Linked DNA regions of Saccharomyces cerevisiae S288C. The gene in region 1 interacts genetically with each later gene. Each region holds a gene or a part of one and is shown in the gene's direction. Other genes may lie near its edges.

The links.
Region 2: mutations in SRC1 (region 1) and THP2 together harm fitness more than expected from each alone (negative genetic interaction), as found in Saccharomyces cerevisiae (5 studies listed by BioGRID).
Region 3: mutations in SRC1 (region 1) and SAC3 together harm fitness more than expected from each alone (negative genetic interaction), as found in Saccharomyces cerevisiae (5 studies listed by BioGRID, with this or other methods).

Annotation. Positions count from the first base shown.
Region 1 is NC_001145.3:207,311-211,271, forward strand, and holds the start of SRC1 (Src1p), read left to right. Parts: upstream 1-2,214; coding exon 2,215-3,961. Other genes in the region: AMD1 (AMP deaminase), read right to left, coding at 1-1,550. UniProt on the Saccharomyces cerevisiae protein: Plays a role in sister chromatid separation.
Region 2 is NC_001140.6:437,776-440,627, forward strand, and holds THP2 (Thp2p), read left to right. Parts: upstream 1-1,566; coding exon 1,567-2,352; downstream 2,353-2,852. Other genes in the region: anaphase promoting complex subunit CDC23, read right to left, coding at 1-1,275; putative GTPase MTG2, read left to right, coding at 2,602-2,852. UniProt on the Saccharomyces cerevisiae protein: Component the THO subcomplex of the TREX complex, which operates in coupling transcription elongation to mRNA export. The THO complex is recruited to transcribed genes and moves along the gene with the elongating polymerase during transcription.
Region 3 is NC_001136.10:770,026-773,625, forward strand, and holds the start of SAC3 (Sac3p), read left to right. Parts: upstream 1-1,851; coding exon 1,852-3,600. Other genes in the region: YDR157W (uncharacterized protein), read left to right, coding at 1-307; HOM2 (aspartate-semialdehyde dehydrogenase), read left to right, coding at 332-1,429.

The DNA of each region.
Region 1 (3,961 bases):
TGGACTAACCAACGAACATTATGGGAAATAACTTTGTTGTCAATCACCCAGCTAGCTAGTTTATCCCATTCATCGAGAGACCTGCCATAAACAGAAATTCTATACTCACAGTTTTGGTATTTTGAATTCTCTAAATCGAATATGACTTGTTTGGTAATGTCAGCCAAGTAGGTACCCTTGATGTAGTTGTTTGTCTTCAAAAAAATTTCTCTGAGACGAGATTCACCGATAGGGTTATATTTTAAGTTGAATTTATCGAATCTGTGGAATGTATCCTTATGTGCATGCATATCTAAAGTATCGATGGATAAATCATATCCAGTCAAATGCAAAGAACGGAATACTTCGTCTAAAGTTAGTAGTTTCCCGTCCCTGAAAATAACCTTTTCATCTTTGGAATGTCTCAATTTGTGTTTAATGAAACGTAATAAGTGCTTTTGGTTCATACAAGCAGAATGGTGAACGTGAGTGTCCACTTTCCTAACATTATAAAAATCCCTGTGTGGGTTTCTTTTGGAAACGCTAGTTTCTTGATATTCGTTCAAGAGATAGTAAAGATTCCAGCGTGCTTCTAGGTATTGCAGCCTTCTATAAGCAAATGATTTAGCGGGACCGTCTGATGAGATGGAAATCATTTTTTCTAGATCCAGATAGTAGTCACGAAGGGTAGGGATTTGAGCAATTAACTCATCCGTCTTACCTGATCTGTGTACCACGTACGAGTCGTCATCGTTGAGGGTAAATTCCCAATCTGGATCCTCACCAGGAATTTCACATTTCGTAAAATCGAAAACTTCCGCATCCGGCTTGTTTGTTACTGGCACAACAGTCTTAGTGTCTGAGTTGTATGAAGGTTTAGGTGGTGGTGGATAGACTACCCAGCCTGGCTTATTTTTTGGGTTTTGATCATCGTTTTGCACAGATATGGTCTGATATTTGGCTCTCAAATTTCTACACTCTGCCACTTTGGAATACAAGTCAATCAACTCGGAAGAGGGATCATCAAGAAACTGCTGTGAAGCATCATCAGCCAACATTCCCATTTTATAGGAGGCAGAGGTACGTACCTGCTTATTCACTACCGGAGCGCCGGCAAATGACTTGAGCGTCTCTGGCAAGATATGCTGAGCACTAGCAGACAAGGTCCTCGGTTTACCCCCGGAATTTTGAGATGCATGGTCTGCCGAGTCATGGCCCTTATTCATCGCTGCTATGTTGGAAGAGCTACAATTGGTAGAATGCGATGGTTGCTCCAAGATGGCAGAGTGAGAATCATGCTCATCTAGGGCCAACTGTTTGGTGCCATTTTCCAACAACTGCTGATTCTCGTGATACGAGAAATTAGCATTCCGAGAATCAGCAGCTAAACTTTCGTGTGAATCTTGCTGCTCTAAGGGGGGTGTCTCATCATCCACTACGACACCAGCTTGTTCATCACCAATCTTTCTTTGATCTATGTCAATGACTAGTCCTGAACCATCTTGTTCATCGTGTGAAGGAGCTGGTTCTAGAGAAAGGTCGTTAAGCCTCTGTGTAGCCTGATTGTCCATAATTTTTTTTAGAATGCCCCCTTTTTATTTGTTATATAATTTATTAATCTGGCGTACTAGCAGTTCAATCGAGTTTTGCTGAATCAAAATTGGCTATAGCAGGGAGACTATAATAAAAATACTATTAATATCCGATAATTGACTAGTATACGAGAAACGCTGCTAATTCTGCCTGTAGAGAGAGAGAAGAAAAGTCGTCAAGAGATGCCTTTTTTTTTTTTTTAAAATTTATCTATTTTTTGATAATATCCTTTAAACCTTGTGCTACTAGAACTCCTTTCTCATCATCGCCAGGCGCAAAAAAAAGATGAAAAAGGAATGAAAAAAGAAAAGAGAAGACCCCCACGTGCCCTAAAAATAAAGTTAGGGCATCTATAAAATAACTAGGATATATATATTGATCACCCTGAACGGAAATCAAGGGTTTTAAAGAGCCCTCAAAATTACTGTTTTAGGAAGCCCCCTTTGTTTTTGTTTTGGTTTCAATTTGTGGTGGCTAATCTGGACATCGATCTACTTGTATAGCTGTCAATATACTATGCGGAATACATGGAAGAGAAATAGTCCTCAGTCATTATTAATAGTAGACTGAGACCATACGGAGTGAACGTAGAGGCCAGAACAACAAACAGTAGAACGGTAGCAGTACTCAGTTAGTGCCGCGATGAATAGTGACTTGGAGTATTTAGAGGACGGTTTTGATCCGAATTCAATGAAAGTTGCGACTTTGAGGAGGATATTGGTAGAAAATAATGTCGATTTCCCATCTAATGCTAGGAAAAATGCGCTGGTGGGGCTGTTCGATGAAAAGGTTAAACCGCAGATCCCGCAGTTACGGAAAATGTATCTGAACGTTCGGCCCAGCGATGAAGGTATTGTGAAAATGGACCGTCCCTCATCTTCCCCATCTATAGCTTCCCCTCGTAGAAGTAGACGAGCTCGCAGGGAGAAATCTGCTTCCCCCATGGCCAAACAGTTTAAGAAGAATAGAATACTGGATGATGTAAGTAATGATGATGATGATGATGATGATGATGATGATGACAATGATAAAAAAGACGATCCTTTAATTGTACCTAGTGGAACGGATACCGATGAAGTGGACGATGAAGAGGATGATGTGATAACATCAAGCTCCAACAAATCAGACACCAATGATTTCCAGCAAAATTCCGATACTCGTAAGAAAAGGAAAGACCCTGATTCTGACGACTGGTCTGAATCTAATTCAAAGGAAAATAAAATCGATAATAAGCATTTGAACCTCCTATCATCAGATTCAGAAATTGAACAGGATTACCAGAAGGCAAAAAAGCGTAAGACGAGTGATTTGAACCAAGAGCATGGAAATGGCTCTGCCATTTTAGGAAAACTTTCCGTCAAAACACCAATAAAGAACACAAATAGAAAGCCAGTAAGCATGGATAATTTTAACGATTCGTTGACTTCAAGCGGTACGGAAAATGATCCATTTGTACCGAACATACGACACAATCCAAAAGAGCTCGGAACTGCCAATGGAACAGGCCATAGCACACCCTTGAGTAAGTTAAAAGTTTCTGCCTCATTTGCGGATAAATTGCCTCAAAAGGAGGTACCATCTACAATACTGGTTCCAGAAGTGGAACAGCAAGAACCTTCTCAGAGTGAAAGAACACCGTCTTTGTTTTCGTCCGAAGGCTCTGGCTCAGAGTCGGAAGCACCCTTGCTTCCAGAGATCACCACGCCAGGTCCTCATCAGCCTATGGGTAATACCAGCAATAATGTGGTCGAAATGATAGATACAGATAGTAGTAACTTGGTATCGGATGAAGATGAAGTTTTAGTGCCTACAAGGATCGAGACTCCCCAATTACCCACAGAGAAAGACGTCGAAAAGTGTGAAGCAAGAGTGCAAGAACTTCAAGAGGAAGTAAATGAGCAATTAGAGCATGAAAATGGGAGTGAATTTGATGTTAAGCAAGGATCTGGGAAGGTCGGGAACAGGCATAAGTTCAAAAGAGCACTCAAATTTTTGAGCAAATCATTACTGGCGCTATTTTTATTTTGCATATTCATTGTTATTCCTCTCTTATTTGGCCTCTGGTATAGAGAGCAAAGACTGCTCATAGGTTACTGTGGGCATGAAGTACCATCCCATCGAGTTAGTGGCAATTCCTTCGAGTTTATTCAAAAACTGGATAATTTGTTGCAGGACTACAGACCGAAATGTATCCCTTGTCCACCCAATGGTATTTGTTATCCTTATTTGAAACTTAAATGTAAGCCAGATTACAAGTTAGCACCATCTAGACTTGACTTTTTGGAAATTATTCCTGCACAAGGCAAATGTGTTAAAGACGACAAAAAACAGCAGTTAGTTTCCGAAGTGGTTGAAAAATCTTTAGAGTTTCTGAGAGCCAAAAATGCAC
Region 2 (2,852 bases), on another chromosome or scaffold:
AGTTAGTGCTCGACGGAAATACATGATAGATTTTTCATGTTCCTGTCGGGCACTGTAATAGTTCGCTATGATACAACATGTTTCCGGTCTAAATCTATCTATTTGGGAGACGAATTGCGCCAAATAGGCTAATTTTGAATTCTTCTGCATGACGTATAGAATATTGGAGTAGGTTTCCAAATCGTTGAGACGGTACGGATCTTGTTTAACGATGTCATCAAATCGGCTTTCTGCGGTAACATAATCCAAATTGTTGTAACTAATAGTAGCATTGTAAGCCTTTAAAAAAGTGAAATTGGGGAAAACTTGTAACAAAAACTCTAAATCTTCAAAGTAGTCCTCTAACTGGCCATTAAGCTCCTCAAACACTTTTAGCTTGAAAAATTTGATCATTATATTAAATTCTATCGTTCGTTGACTACCAAGATTTTCAGAAAATTTGAATTGGAAATTTTGATATAGATAATTATTTAAAAGCAATGCATCGTCAACCTTTTGTAAACAGTCCATTAACTCCAGCCAGCAGGACCAGTTAAAGGAGTAGCAACTCAGAGATTTCAAGAATGACGACATTGCCTTAGAAATATTCTTCTCTTGCTTTAAGATGACCCCTCGTAAATAATACAACAGTGCTAACCCTAAATCGGCCTCATCATCGTCTATCTTTATTTCATAAGACTCCAGAAATGTGTTAATTTCCTTCAAAATAGATGATATGTTCGATTGTGACTCATGCTCATTGCTGACCATTTTTAAATTGGCGCGTTGGTGCCCACTTTGATTTATATCCTCATTCCCACTACCATCCCCATCTTTGTTAGCTCTGTACATTTCGTCCGTAAACTTCCCTGTAGTTAAGATATTTTCCATACTTTCCTGGCTTTTCTTATCCCACGATAGAAATTTACTGTATAATTTTAAGAACTTAAGGTATGGATTAGTGACATCTTTTAGAAAAAAAACGCATCGATCAAACTCTTTAGCATCAAACAACGTAGAACCAAGGAGGTACAGGTCATACTCAGTCTCTGATAGGCCAAACCCGTTTTGTGGTATTTCAAACATCTGTTTCGGTACACCTTGTTTATTTCTTAGTGGCGATTCATCGGCTAAAGAGTGTGTTTGATCAACATCAATAGCTTCTGCAAGACCTGCTAGCGCCTCTGCTGCCCACTTTGAGGAGCCGTATAGCTTCCATCGTGATAATTCTGTGGCAGCCTTTCGTAGCTGAATACGTATATCATGTATTATTTTATCCTGGCTGTCGTCATTCATGGTTCTAAATGCTTCACAATCTGATTCTGATCAGTATATATCCAGATTTCAGTTTTCCGCTCGCTAATACTCCCTTCTTCCTCTTAATTTGATGTGAGTACCGCAGTACTTGGTCTGCTATTATGAAGTGTTTGTTTTACCCGAAGTGCTTTTTATGTACGCGCATTGAAAAATAATAGAAACTTGGTAAGTAGAATACTTAAGAAGCTGCAGAAGTGCAGTATCTTACAGTAAGAAACAACAGCGACTAGTTTATCAGGTTTACACTGCTCAAGTTATCAAGTTCATAGCATGACAAAGGAAGAAGGTCGTACGTATTTTGAATCTCTCTGCGAGGAGGAACAAAGTTTGCAGGAAAGCCAAACCCACTTATTAAATATTTTAGATATATTATCAGTATTGGCAGACCCTAGATCATCTGATGATCTGCTTACTGAATCCCTCAAGAAGTTGCCTGATTTACACAGGGAGCTGATAAATAGTTCCATCCGCCTGCGATACGATAAATATCAAACAAGAGAAGCACAGCTTTTGGAGGATACAAAAACTGGAAGGGACGTTGCAGCGGGAGTACAGAATCCTAAGAGTATTAGCGAGTACTATTCTACTTTCGAACATTTGAATAGGGATACTTTAAGGTACATAAATTTACTGAAGCGACTTTCTGTTGATTTAGCAAAGCAGGTGGAAGTGTCTGATCCATCAGTGACAGTGTATGAAATGGATAAATGGGTTCCATCTGAGAAACTTCAGGGTATTCTCGAGCAGTACTGTGCGCCTGATACTGATATACGTGGTGTAGACGCTCAAATCAAGAACTATCTAGATCAGATCAAAATGGCACGTGCCAAATTTGGTTTAGAGAATAAGTATTCCTTAAAGGAAAGACTCTCTACTTTGACAAAGGAACTAAACCATTGGCGAAAAGAATGGGACGATATAGAAATGCTTATGTTCGGTGATGATGCACATTCTATGAAAAAAATGATCCAGAAGATAGATTCATTAAAGTCTGAAATAAATGCTCCATCGGAAAGCTATCCTGTAGATAAAGAAGGTGACATAGTTTTAGAATAAGCACATTTTATTTAACCAGCCTGCACAAGTTAGATAGAGTTATACATACTTGTTGAGTGGGAGGGAAGAAAGAGAAAAATTGTATTATTTTTTAAAGAGCTTTTTAATATTTTATTTGTTCTATCTATTATTTTCACTTCCCCGAAATAGTACTGAAGGAAAAAACATGCTGGTTTATTTAGCGTTTAATAGGATGTGTACGTACTGAGAATATCATCAAGAATCAGTCCTCGGCCAGAGCATCTAGATATGTCGATAGCTTGGTCTAGCGTTTTCAAAAGAGAATTACGGCTTGAAAGATTTTTACCAAGAGTATATTCGACGAAAGTTCCTGATAATGCACCAAGAGCGGCTGACAATGAACAATGGCTAGAAACCCTAAGACCTATAACTCACCCAGAACAGAAAAAGTCCGACCATGATGTCAGTTACACAAGACACATTAATGTTCCTCTGGGCGAAGTCACTTCTGTCAACTATCTACAACGGTATAATAAGCA
Region 3 (3,600 bases), on another chromosome or scaffold:
AGTTAGAATTCTGACATCTGAACGTCTTCAGTGCTTTTTTTTCTCTTTCTTTCCAGATCCAAATATCACCGGCAGCGGCCTCAAAGTACCCGGTTTTCTTTTTTTTCACACTTTTTTTTTTTCCAAATCATGTTGTCAAGCATTGATTGACTCATTTTCCTCTGACTACTACCAGTTCAAAATGTTAGAGAAAAATAGAAAAGCAGAAAAAATAAATAAAAGAACCATATTTATTTGTTCATTCACTTTCGAGTATAAAATTAAATCTTGTTTTTCTTGTTTTCACTTAAGTACACATACAAATTAAATTGTAGAAATAAAGCGTTCTAAAATGGCTGGAAAGAAAATTGCTGGTGTTTTGGGTGCTACTGGTTCCGTTGGTCAACGTTTCATTCTGTTGTTGGCAAATCACCCTCATTTCGAACTGAAAGTTCTTGGTGCCTCTTCTAGATCAGCTGGCAAGAAATACGTTGACGCTGTGAACTGGAAGCAAACCGATTTGCTACCGGAATCTGCTACCGATATTATTGTTTCCGAATGTAAATCTGAATTCTTTAAAGAGTGTGACATCGTCTTTTCCGGATTGGATGCTGACTATGCTGGCGCTATCGAAAAGGAATTCATGGAAGCTGGTATCGCCATTGTTTCCAATGCCAAGAATTATAGAAGAGAACAAGATGTGCCATTGATTGTTCCTGTTGTCAATCCTGAGCATTTGGATATTGTAGCTCAAAAGCTTGACACCGCCAAGGCTCAAGGTAAGCCAAGACCAGGGTTCATTATCTGTATTTCCAATTGTTCCACTGCAGGTTTGGTTGCACCATTGAAGCCTTTGATTGAAAAATTCGGTCCTATTGATGCTTTGACCACTACTACTTTGCAAGCAATCTCAGGTGCTGGTTTCTCCCCAGGTGTACCAGGTATTGATATTCTAGACAATATTATTCCATACATTGGTGGTGAAGAAGACAAGATGGAATGGGAGACCAAGAAAATCTTGGCTCCATTAGCAGAAGACAAGACACACGTCAAACTATTGACTCCAGAAGAAATCAAAGTCTCTGCTCAATGTAACAGAGTCGCTGTTTCCGATGGGCACACCGAATGTATCTCTTTGAGGTTCAAGAACAGACCTGCTCCATCCGTCGAGCAAGTCAAGACATGCCTAAAAGAATACGTCTGCGATGCCTACAAATTAGGCTGTCATTCTGCTCCAAAGCAAACTATTCATGTTTTGGAACAACCAGACAGACCTCAACCAAGGTTGGACAGGAACAGAGACAGCGGTTACGGTGTTTCCGTTGGTAGAATCAGAGAAGACCCATTGTTAGATTTCAAAATGGTTGTCCTTTCCCACAACACCATTATTGGTGCCGCTGGTTCTGGTGTCTTGATTGCCGAAATCTTACTAGCAAGAAACTTGATTTAAGGAAAAATTGCAAAGTTATGTCTTCATCTTACTTTTTTTTCGAACGAACAAAAAATACAAAACAAGTAAATAAGTATATGTGTATGAATATACGTATAATAATTTGAAACGTAGATCTTTATTATTAGTTTCTTGAGTTTCGAGAATTCGTGATTCAATGTTCATTATTTTTTCTTTTCTTTTCTTTTCAATAGTATAATACCAAGCCTTTATTATTTTTCTTCCACTTCAAGAAAAGGTAATTCTCTCGCTGACCCAAGAAAAAAGCTAAACAGAGAGCGTAGTGATGCATACAAACAACTCATTTACATGGGAAAAAAAAGGAGAGAGGAAAGCAGCAGACATATCTCAAAGCTGGGATACACTCACAATAGCACTGTTGGTACTCATTTCAGGTAATACTCTTGGAAGGTATCCCTTAAATGAACACATCATTTGGCTCAGTAGTGCCTTCCACTAATTTCAATTTTTTCAAAGGGCATGGAAATAATGATAACACTAGTGCCAATAGTACTGTTAACAACAGCAATTTCTTTTTAAATAGCAATGAAACGAAACCTTCGAAAAATGTCTTCATGGTGCACTCTACCTCTCAAAAGAAGTCGCAGCAACCGTTACAAAATCTCTCACACTCACCTTCCTACACGGAAAATAAACCAGATAAAAAGAAAAAATATATGATAAACGATGCCAAGACCATTCAACTTGTAGGTCCACTGATTTCCTCTCCTGATAATTTGGGATTTCAGAAGAGATCGCACAAAGCAAGAGAATTACCAAGGTTTTTGATTAATCAAGAACCTCAATTGGAGAAAAGAGCTTTTGTACAAGATCCCTGGGACAAGGCTAATCAAGAAAAAATGATCTCATTGGAAGAATCCATAGATGATCTCAATGAATTGTATGAAACACTAAAAAAAATGAGAAATACTGAGCGATCGATAATGGAAGAAAAAGGGCTAGTGGATAAAGCTGACTCAGCAAAGGATCTTTACGATGCTATAGTATTTCAAGGTACCTGTTTAGATATGTGTCCCACATTCGAGAGATCAAGAAGAAACGTTGAATATACTGTGTATTCATATGAAAAAAATCAACCAAATGATAAAAAAGCTTCTCGAACTAAAGCATTGAAGGTCTTCGCGAGGCCAGCAGCAGCAGCAGCTCCTCCTTTACCTTCTGATGTTAGGCCACCCCATATTTTAGTCAAGACATTGGACTATATTGTAGATAACTTATTAACAACATTGCCTGAAAGCGAAGGATTCTTATGGGATAGGATGAGATCCATAAGGCAGGACTTTACATATCAGAACTATTCAGGACCTGAGGCGGTAGATTGTAATGAGCGTATTGTTAGGATACATCTTCTGATCTTGCATATCATGGTGAAATCAAATGTGGAATTTTCGCTTCAACAAGAACTAGAACAATTGCATAAATCCCTTATCACGTTATCAGAAATATACGATGACGTTCGTTCCAGCGGCGGAACATGCCCAAATGAGGCTGAATTTCGAGCTTATGCTCTCCTGAGTAAAATAAGAGACCCTCAATACGATGAGAATATCCAAAGATTACCAAAACATATTTTCCAAGATAAATTAGTTCAAATGGCTTTATGTTTCAGAAGGGTTATATCTAACTCAGCTTATACTGAACGCGGGTTTGTTAAAACTGAGAATTGTTTAAACTTCTACGCAAGGTTTTTCCAGTTAATGCAATCACCCAGCTTGCCATTATTAATGGGATTTTTTTTGCAAATGCATCTGACGGATATTAGATTTTATGCGCTAAGAGCTTTATCACATACTTTAAACAAAAAGCATAAACCAATACCATTTATTTATTTGGAAAATATGTTACTCTTTAATAATCGGCAAGAAATAATTGAATTTTGTAATTATTACTCAATTGAAATCATAAATGGGGATGCAGCCGATTTGAAAACATTGCAACATTATTCTCACAAATTGTCAGAAACACAACCTTTAAAAAAAACATACCTTACCTGCTTAGAAAGGAGATTACAGAAAACTACTTACAAGGGTTTAATTAATGGCGGTGAAGATAATTTGGCTTCTTCGGTTTATGTGAAGGACCCAAAAAAGGATAGAATACCTTCTATCGCAGACCAATCTTTTTTAATGGAAAATTTTCAAAACAACTAT